Xenopus tropicalis: one gene and its partner. The protein of the gene in region 1 purifies or fractionates together with the protein of each later gene. This does not show direct contact. Links are inferred from orthologs where the notes say so. Each region holds a gene or a part of one and is shown on either strand. Other genes may lie near its edges.

Evidence for each region. Proteins that work in one complex are often made in the same cells at the same time.
Region 2: the proteins of stip1 (region 1) and hnrnpdl fractionate together in Homo sapiens (co-fractionation; 3 studies listed by BioGRID, with this or other methods). This does not show direct contact. The link is inferred for Xenopus tropicalis from reciprocal best matches to the Homo sapiens genes STIP1 and HNRNPDL.

What each region holds. Positions count from the first base shown.
Region 1 is NC_030680.2:35,680,309-35,684,907, reverse strand, and holds the start of stip1 (stress-induced-phosphoprotein 1), read left to right. Parts: upstream 1-1,539; 5' UTR 1,540-1,545; coding exon 1,546-1,554; intron 1,555-3,892; coding exon 3,893-4,102; intron 4,103-4,199; coding exon 4,200-4,341; intron 4,342-4,429; coding exon 4,430-4,571; intron 4,572-4,599. UniProt on the Homo sapiens protein: Acts as a co-chaperone for HSP90AA1. Mediates the association of the molecular chaperones HSPA8/HSC70 and HSP90.
Region 2 is NC_030677.2:82,326,727-82,331,569, forward strand, and holds the start of hnrnpdl (heterogeneous nuclear ribonucleoprotein D-like), read right to left. Parts: upstream 3,082-4,843; 5' UTR 3,016-3,081; coding exon 2,939-3,015; intron 2,358-2,938; coding exon 2,189-2,357; intron 2,112-2,188; coding exon 1,950-2,111; intron 1,290-1,949; coding exon 1,158-1,289; intron 1,075-1,157; coding exon 960-1,074; intron 704-959; coding exon 533-703; intron 177-532; coding exon 109-176; 3' UTR 86-108; intron 1-85. UniProt on the Homo sapiens protein: Acts as a transcriptional regulator. Promotes transcription repression. Promotes transcription activation in differentiated myotubes. Binds to double- and single-stranded DNA sequences. Binds to the transcription suppressor CATR sequence of the COX5B promoter.

The DNA of each region.
Region 1 (4,599 bases):
CATGTGCTCGCTCTTGCATTTGGCCTCCTAAATGTTGCGGTAAATTTTGTGGCCCAGGCCTGGGTGTACCCCCTGCTCCCCCGATAGTTACACCACATCCCACACATCCAGGCCTGATTGGGGAACCTGAAAATGTTACTCGAGCAGGGACCCCCAACCTTTCTTACTCATGAGTCACAGTCAAATATAAAAAGACTTGGAGAGCAACACAAGCATCATAAAAGTTCATGGAGGAGCCAAATAAGGGCTAAGATTGGCTATTAGGCAGCCTCTATGCACACTATCAGCTTACAGGGGGCTTTATTTGGTAGTAAATCTTGACTTTATTCAACCAAAACTTGCCACAAAGTCAGGAATTCAAAAATAACTCCCTGGTTTGGGGGCACTGAGAGCAACATCCAAGGGGTTGGTGAGCAACATGTTGTCCCTGAGCCACTGGTTGGGGATCACTGTACTTGAGCGTCTAGTCAGGGTACTGGCCTATTAATTCAGTTACCTTCCTTGCACACCTAGGGGTACATTTACTAATCCACGAACGTCCGAAAAGCGTCCGAATGTGTTTTTTTCGTAATGATTGGTATTTTGCGACTTTTTCGTGAATTGTCGCAAATTTTTCGAGCGCTCAATACGAAAAAGTTGCGACAATTTGCGAAATTCGTAATGGCTATGAAAAAGTCGCGACAATTCACGAAAGTCATAATGGCTATGAAAAAGTCTCGACAATTCACGAAATTTGTAATGGCTATGAAAAAGTTGCGACAATTCACGCAAGTCATAATGGTTATAAAAAAGTCGCTACAATTTACGAAAAAGTCGTAATGGCGACGAAAAAAATCGCAAAAATACGAAAAAGTCGCAAAATGTTCATTTTCCAATCCGAATTTTTCTCATTCGGATTCGTGGATTAGTAAATCAGCCCCCTAGTGTGCTCACAATTCACTAGTACTTCTTCTTGGGGTTCTGATGATCCTGGAATCTGAGCCACAAGATACAACATAGTGAAAAAAGGTATTCACAAAGGGATTCAGAACCTTTTCAGTACTGCTGACCATGGAGGTTATTATGTATAAATGAAATTCCCTGCTAGGGCCAAGAAAAGTAAGTATAAGAAATGTGAGAGATGTATTGGTAGTGTCCCTGCAGCTCTGTACAACCGAACACATTGTTGGTTGGAAGTGACATCACTTTTCCTCAATGAAACAAGTGGGGTCTTAAAACCAATCAGAACTCTAGGCCCTCGTAGCAACCAATTGGCGTAGTAGAAGCTTCCAGAATCCTCCAGCCAATTTCTCCCCAAGCGTGAGCTTACAGCCAGCCAATCGGCTTTAGAAGTAGTGAATGGGCGGGATAAAACAAGGACAAGGAAGTCTTGCTGGGAGAGTCAGCAAGGGGCGTGGGTACGTGATGGATAACAGCATTGACCTGTCAGCGAAGGGAGCTTAAAATGTTCGCCCAATAGTTGCACACTCGGTAGGCGGGAATTGAACTGTCATCGTTTAGTAGGTTCGAGAAGACGCGTGGGGAGGTCGGAATCAGAGGGTTGCAATGGAGGCGGTAAGTGGCAAATTGTTAGTTAAGAGTGATGGGGATATTATAAATGCTAACCCACACACTTGCTCCGCGTTATGGGACAAGTAAGCTTTCCATAGTTGCGGGGAATTTATACTTGTGGGTCAGTCATTAAGTCATGGAGTGAGGGTCTGGGCTATGTGGGATAGCTGTTCTTCCTTTCAGACGATTGGTAACTGCCCTCAATAGCATTCAGTGCAAGAGTAGTTGCAGAACTGCAGCTTCCAGCCGTACTGGCATTGTGGCGTCAGGAGTTATTTTTCTGCCAGTCTCTGCCATCTCATGCCACGTCTGTCAGTTTCTCCAATAGGGGCAATAGCTCACCCTTGTTTCTAGTTTCCATGCTTCTCCTTGGGATTTACGCCTGTAAAACCATCAGCCTGCAGACTGCACTGGTTTCTGTATAGCCATATGGTAGGCAACTTAGCTAATCAACCCTACTCTTATTTATTCTAAAGGTTTACTGTGTATTGTTCACCTAATAAAATTGTCATTATTTGGAACTCCCTCCACCAGCTACTGGTGATCTCTGGTGTAGTAAGAAGTTCATGGGTCCCACAGCAAAATAATTTTTTGGTTACCCTAAAATTTAGAAATAAGACTTTTGCATTGTGATGGGACATTGAATAGTTTCTGATGGGACACAGATATTGAAGGAAAACGTTTAAAAATCTGGATTAATCTGGATTTATGCTATTGTATGTGTACGTCTACATCTTTGAATAAAAGTTTTTACTGAGGCAATTATATTGGCATAGTCATCTGGGAAATCTGTAAGAGAGAATCCCAAGTATTATTAAAGAGGAAGGGTGGGTTCTGTAGAAATGAACTACAGTTCTTAAGACGGCTATAAACTTAAAGGTATTGACAGTAAGTACACGACTTAGTACAAATTCCCTCCCAGTCCTTGTGTCCAAGTAGCATTTAGAAGAGACATGTTTGTACCATGGCTATTGGACATTTTATAGACTGGACAGGTTTAACCATTTTGGTCGGTTTGGCCCAAAGAAACAAATTTCCAGTTGTGTGTAGTCAGAAGATAACCATAGAACAGCAATGGCAAAGGACGATGTACCAACTTTACATGCTTGGCCAGCCTGCCATCTGATCTTTCCTATGAACTTTCACATTTGCAATATATACATCTTCATATTAATAGTTTGTCATTTTATATACAGATGCAGTGGCAGGGTGCACAGATGCAAGTCAGTGTTATTGTTACTTTGCACTCTGTCCCTCCATCAGCACATGTAGGTGCAAGTAAGGACCTGACCATGACTTCAGCACTGCCTGCATTCAGTGTGAGGTAGTTAAGAGAGCAAATATGCCTCAGATGCAGGTGCACCCAAACCATTATTAAATGAGCCCCAGTATTTTGGCCTCTTTGTCTACAAGTGTTATGGAGAGGGATTCACAGTATGCAGCTTGATAATTTTTATGTTACATTTAGTTGGTTTCCTGGAAAAGAAAGTAGCGCTGGCACAGCTGGGCATAAGTAGGGTAATTGAATTGGAGTCCTTTCTCTTACCTATTCCTCTTAGGCAAGGGGCATATGGGGTGTTTTGCTTGATGTTGTCATCTAGTGAACAACAGCAGCATTCAAAATACCCCTGTCTGCCTATCGCAGCTCATTGTTCAGAGCAGTGACAGGTAGAAGGGCAATTAGCCTGCTGCTGTTTTATCTCTGTATGGCAGTAGTGTATAAAATGGCCGTGGGCCACAAGTTTTAGGCTAATGGTACACAGGGCTGGGAATCCCCTGATGTGGGAATTATAGCTACAAAAATGTCTGTAGAACATTAACCTGTGCTATAACAGAAATATATCATGCATATTTTATTATTATTTATGTTTGTCACCAGTTCCTTTCTACTGAACTGAACCTTTATTTTCTTATGCATGTTGCAGGATTAGGCAAAAAAAGAATTTTTTTATTTATTTATTTTTTTTATAGGTACACAGGGATCCAGATATTTTTTATGTATTATGTATATATCTCTTATTTTTATATTCAACCTGCAGTTGAGCATGTTATTATTTGTACTATTTGAGCCAAGGGTGCCTAGCAAGGCATAGTTTGAGGCAATGACATGTTTAAATTCTGCTTTCCCCTTCCCTTCAATTTTCTTTTCAGCCCACGCTGCCCAAAGTGAGTCAGAGTGGGGGTGGCAGCAATTTAGTTCCAGGCACCAGTGGCGCAAGAGTTAATTAAGCAGCAGTGGAAGGCATAGAGATTTGATATCTTTGTACATACTTTCATTATAACAAATGACATATCGTTATGTATATGTTTCAAAATTGTTGTCCCTGTTCTTTCCCATCAGGCAAACGCACTGAAAGAGAAAGGAAACAAAGCACTTTCAGCAGGGGATCTGGATGAAGCAGTCAAATGCTACACCGAAGCCATCAAACTTGACCCTAAAAATCACGTCCTGTACAGCAATCGTTCTGCAGCCTTTGCCAAAAAGAAAGAGTTCACCAAAGCACTGGAAGATGGCGGCAAAACCGTGGAGCTGAAACCAGACTGGGGGAAGGTGGGAGCTGTAGAGCTAAGCATATGTAGTGACCTGTAAACCTGTTGGTAATAATTTGTGTATATCTATAAGTGTCTTATTGTTATCTTTCTATTAGGGTTACTCTAGGAAAGCAGCAGCTTTAGAATTTCTGAATCGTTTTGAAGAAGCAAAGAAAACTTATGAAGAGGGGCTGAGGCACGAGCCAGCAAATGCACAGCTGAAAGAAGGGCTGCAAAATATGGAGGCCAGGCTGGCAGGTACTATAACATTTTCTGTTTCTTCCATAAGATGAAGAAGCCAGACAGTGTTCCCACTGATCCCTCTGTTTTCCCCACTCCTCTTCAGAGAGAAAATTCATGAATCCCTTCAACTCTCCAAACTTATACCAAAAACTGGAGTCTGATCCTCGTACCCGTGCGTTGCTGAGTGACCCCAGTTACAAAGAACTGATTGAACAGTTGAAAAACAAACCATCTGATCTTGGCACGTAAGTTGAGAACAGTTTCTCAGAACGT
Region 2 (4,843 bases), on another chromosome or scaffold:
TTAAAGCTTAATGTAAAAAAAAAAACCAAACACAACAAATAACCCACACATCAGCATTTCATCAGCAATAGCATAAAGTACCCACCTTAGGTTTCAATAGTCACCGCTTTAGTAAGGCTGGTAATTGTTTTGATGGTTTCCTCCACCTCTTGCTTTGCCATATGTGCTTTGTTGCCCTAAAAAGTAGAACGACGTTAAAGTTAAGGGGCACAAGCCAAAATAATGATTTTTATAAAAGATTATACCTAATGCAAACCATAAACTGGAGTAGTAAACAAGTCATCTTTGAATTAAGCCAGTATTTACCAGCAAATGTACATAACTGTGCATATGGCTGCTAGCAAATTTGTAGTTACTAACAAAAAGCTGCCAAGTTTCTCTTCTCATTTAAGTGTATTTTTAAAACACATTTTTCCCCCCAAGTCTCTCCAAAGAAGCAGTATAACATAACCTTAAGAATTAACTACCTCAATGACTAACTTTTCATTATCAAGTGTGTGCCTGCAAATGAAAGCTTTTCCAGAAAACTTACCACTGTAGTCTGTGTATCCTTGATTATATCCATAGCTTCCATAGTTATATCCAGAGTAATCATAACCACTATAACTGTTATTATACCCTTGATCAGCATAAGAACCATTGTTTCCATAGCTTCCATAGTTCTGATCATAGTAGTTGCTGTAGCCTTGATTCCAACCTTGACCTAAAAGAGGGGGAAAAAAAATTTAAGTTCCGTTCAAACCTTGGAGTTTTGCAGTAATCTTTTAAACATGGGGCCAGCATAAGCATTAACAGTCAATTGCAGCTTCAAAGACATTTAGCAACAAAAAAAACACCCAAAAAACTAATTTTTGCACTGCATAGGACAAATGAATGCCCTGCAAAAAAAGAAAAAAGTGGACTGCATAAGGTACAGCAATGGCACATGCCAAAGAACACTTGTCCCATATGATACCCACCTCTGCCCCTTCCTCTGGCACCACCCCTTCCAGTGGCTGCTCCTCTTCCTCCCTTCTGCTGCTTCTGTTGTTGCTGCCTGTAGACTTCTTTGGGCTGTGCAACTTTTATTTCACACTATGGGTAAAAAAACCAAAACTTAATATTTCACTTCGTAAAATTAAAAGTACAGACAACAGGAAAAAGCTGGCAAATCGTACCTTTCCTGTACCAATTTGATGGAACCGGCTTTCCAAAAGTTTCTTTACTGGTTCTTCGCCTGTATAGGTGACAAAACAAAAGCCTCTCCTTTCATTTGTTTTTGTGTCCATTGGCAGCTCAATATTTTCAATCTGTGAGGGGGACAAAACAATTCAGCTTCATTTTACACAGAAAAGTCTAAATTCCATTGCTAAATGCTATTTAACACTAACAGTAAGCAATGCCCAGCACCCCCCCCCCCCTCAATATCCTAGGTGCCACCCAGTATGTGAAACTTGCCAGCTTTACTCTGGAATGGTGCCCTACTATTTCTAGCAACTTTGCATTTGATCTTTATCATTTATTCTTTGTAGTTTTCAAATTATTTGTCTTCTTTGTCTACATCTTTCCAGCTTTCAAATGGGGGTCACTGACCCCAGGAACCAAAAGCCTATTGCTCTTTAAGACTATAATAGTGTTTGTTACTTTTTAATCCTTTTCTTTCTATTTAGTCCCTCATCTATTCATGTTCAAGTCTTTCATTCATCCCGCTGCCTGGTTGTTAAGGTAAACAAGTAATCAGATAGCTGCTGAAATTGCAAACTGGAGAGGTGCTGAATAAATAGCCAAAAATAAAAACCAGTTGCAAATTGTCTCTGAATATCAATGTCTATATCATGCTAAAAGTTAATCTTAAGGCGAACAACTCCTTTAATATCACAAAAAAGAAAAGCTATGTGCTAGCCAACAGTAAACTCAACTAAATCAATAGATCATTTCAAAGTGATCTAAGAAAAAAACAGTATACTTACTTCTCCAAATCCACCAAAATACTGCTTGATCTGCTCCTCTGTTGTTTCAGGACTGAGTCCGCCAACAAACACTTTCTTGGGAGGCTCTTTGCCTTTTAGTGCCTTAGCTCTTTTTGGGTCAATGAGCTTGCCATCTAGTTTATGCTCTTTTGTTTCAAGCACCTTAATAAAATATTAAGTGATAAGTTAACTTGATTTTAGGCACAGACAATACACCTCCAGCCAGGCAGATTACTCACTTTGTCAACGCTCACAGCATCTTTGAAAAGAACAAAGCCAAATCCTCTTGAACGCCCAGTCACTGGATCAGTTTTGATTGTGCAATCTACCACCTCCCCAAACCGAGACAGATACTCTGTAAGGTCTTTCTTACTTGTATCCCAACTCAGACCCCCGATGAACATTTTGCTGCACACGAAAATAAAACAGTGGTCGTTACATATGGCTAAGAAAAAGACGCAAAATATTAAAATTACAGCACTGCGCTTGTTATACAACAGCTCTAGAAATCGAGTCGCTCGACTAGAACAGTGTAGTTTTCTTCTAAGCATAAGTCGGAGAGCCGCAGCGCCGCCTACAGTTCACGTTGCGCCAAGAGCGCGCATTACTATCAATGTGACGTCACGGCCGATGCCATTGGTCGATACATCACTTACCCCGCCCGAGATCTCCTATTTGCTGGTGATGACGACTTCCCTATTCCCTAATCCGCAGGAAAGAATAGGCTAGGCCTTCCGAAAATATAGCGCAGCTAGCTCTTCTCGCGAGACTAGATATATAACCTCTTGATAGTGCAACAAAAAAATTCGGCCACCGCAAACAGCACCGTAGTAGAGAGCTATTTCGCGGCTTTAAAAATACCGCCCAAACTACTCACTAACCTACGTTTAAGAAGATTAACTGCACGCTCATTTCCAGCCCTGTAAAATATATATTCAGACAAATCGAGATTTGAAGGAATACTTCGTCTAATACCTGCGAATACTTACCCTTCATCCTGCTGGTTTTTGCTGGCATTGATTTTTGAGCCTTCGTTGAAGTCCGGGGTGGCACCAAATCCGGTCATGATTACGGTCTAATTGACGAATACAAAAGCCCCTTACGAACACACACACTAAGCAAATGTGGAAAAGAGCCTGAAATCGCCCACCCTCTCTTTATATACCAAAAGAGTTAGCCAATGGGCTTCGCAAGTTTCAGTGTCGTCACGTTAATGCGCTGTGTTTTTATTGGAGAGAAGCGGAGATGGGCGTGGCTGCTCTGCGTTCGTTGGCCCGATTTCTATTATGCGGGAGTTCTACCCAGTAATGTAGCGCTGGATAGACACAATGGAGTCACATGGCGTTTTTAGAATATGGCGCCTTGTAGTCGTGTGCAAAATGGTTGTGCTTGGGAAAAGTGAAGGCTTTAATGCCTTCTTGTTCGAGTGGTTTTTAGCCAAGGAGCAAACATTTATTCCGGCAACGAACGTCTAATAACTCTACAGCTAAATATACTTTTACCTTGCCCATTAATCCGTATGTCCGTAAACCTCCCTTCCTGTTACGGCGAAGCAGTTTTTTTTATTCAGCCACATGAGCGTTAGGAGCTGACTTGAACGTCGCACCAATTCAGCAACGCGGGGCAATTGGTGCTTTGCCATAATGGCTTTATTCTCCGTGCCGCCGCCAGTTACAGTCATCCTGTTAGATATTGAGGGTACCACTACCCCAATCACGTTTGTCAAGGTGAGGATCCCGTTTGTCTCACACATTAACACGCAAACAGTGCACGCTATCACATGCGCTGTGATGGCCTCACTCATGCAGGGCTTCGCTACGCTAAACCGATCCCCAACATAATGACTTTGTTTTAATGCAGACAATAATGGTTTTGATTTTGTATTTTATAAACAGTGACGTAAAAGATAAAACAAAATATGATATTTGCTCCTAAAAACTGCTCCAGCCACAAGTATGGTTTATATAAAGGATCTTCTAATCAAGGAGTGTTATACAAATGTATATTTGTTATTATAACCTTGAATCTGCTATTTTCTTGTTTCAATAACAAAAAAAGAGGCTGGAAATACATGCAATGTTGTACTGCTGAGATTTCATAATTGGTACAGATTTAAAGGGTAATTCTGGAAGGTATGGAAGTATTTCTTGCATGTAATTGTGGATTGTCAATTAATGTGATTAGATTTTTAAATGTTTAACATCCTGTCCTTATTAAGTAGTGCATGATACATTAGGCACTTTTGACACAAATCAACATTGTGGAAACTGAGAAGCAGTGGCAAGTGGTGACTGGTTTATATGTGGTTGTCAAACATTTTCAGCTTGACCAGGGGCCCCTATCATCATGAAATGAGTTCAGATATAGGAAAAGGTGCATCAGTCATTCAGACTTTGTTTAAAAAAAAATATCAAGCATAGTAAATACATATACTCCCCAAATCTCCCTGCCTTTATTCTGAGATCTACTGCCACCATTCCAAGTTCCCCTGGTAAGCCAGCCACACAGTTTGGGAACAACTGGTTTAAGACCTTGAGTGGTAATATATACAGGTATGGGATCTATTATAAGAAAAACTTGGCACCTGTCCTTTTCCAGATAGTTTTTCCTTTACTTGAATCACCATGCTTTAAATCTACTTAAAAATCATTTAAACATTAAAACAATCTCAAAAGAATTGTTTAACAACCAATTTATTATTACAAAAAAAGACAAGCTTAAAAATATAAAACCTTCTTGCATACAATGGGCTTAATGAGAGATTGTATTTCCATATTTCGGAGGTAATGGATAAGAGGCTTCTGGGTAATGGATCTTTTTTCAGTGAAGCATACTTCAAAGGTCATCTGTCGCATCAAAACTGTTTCCCCTACTGGACATCTGGGCTAACAGAG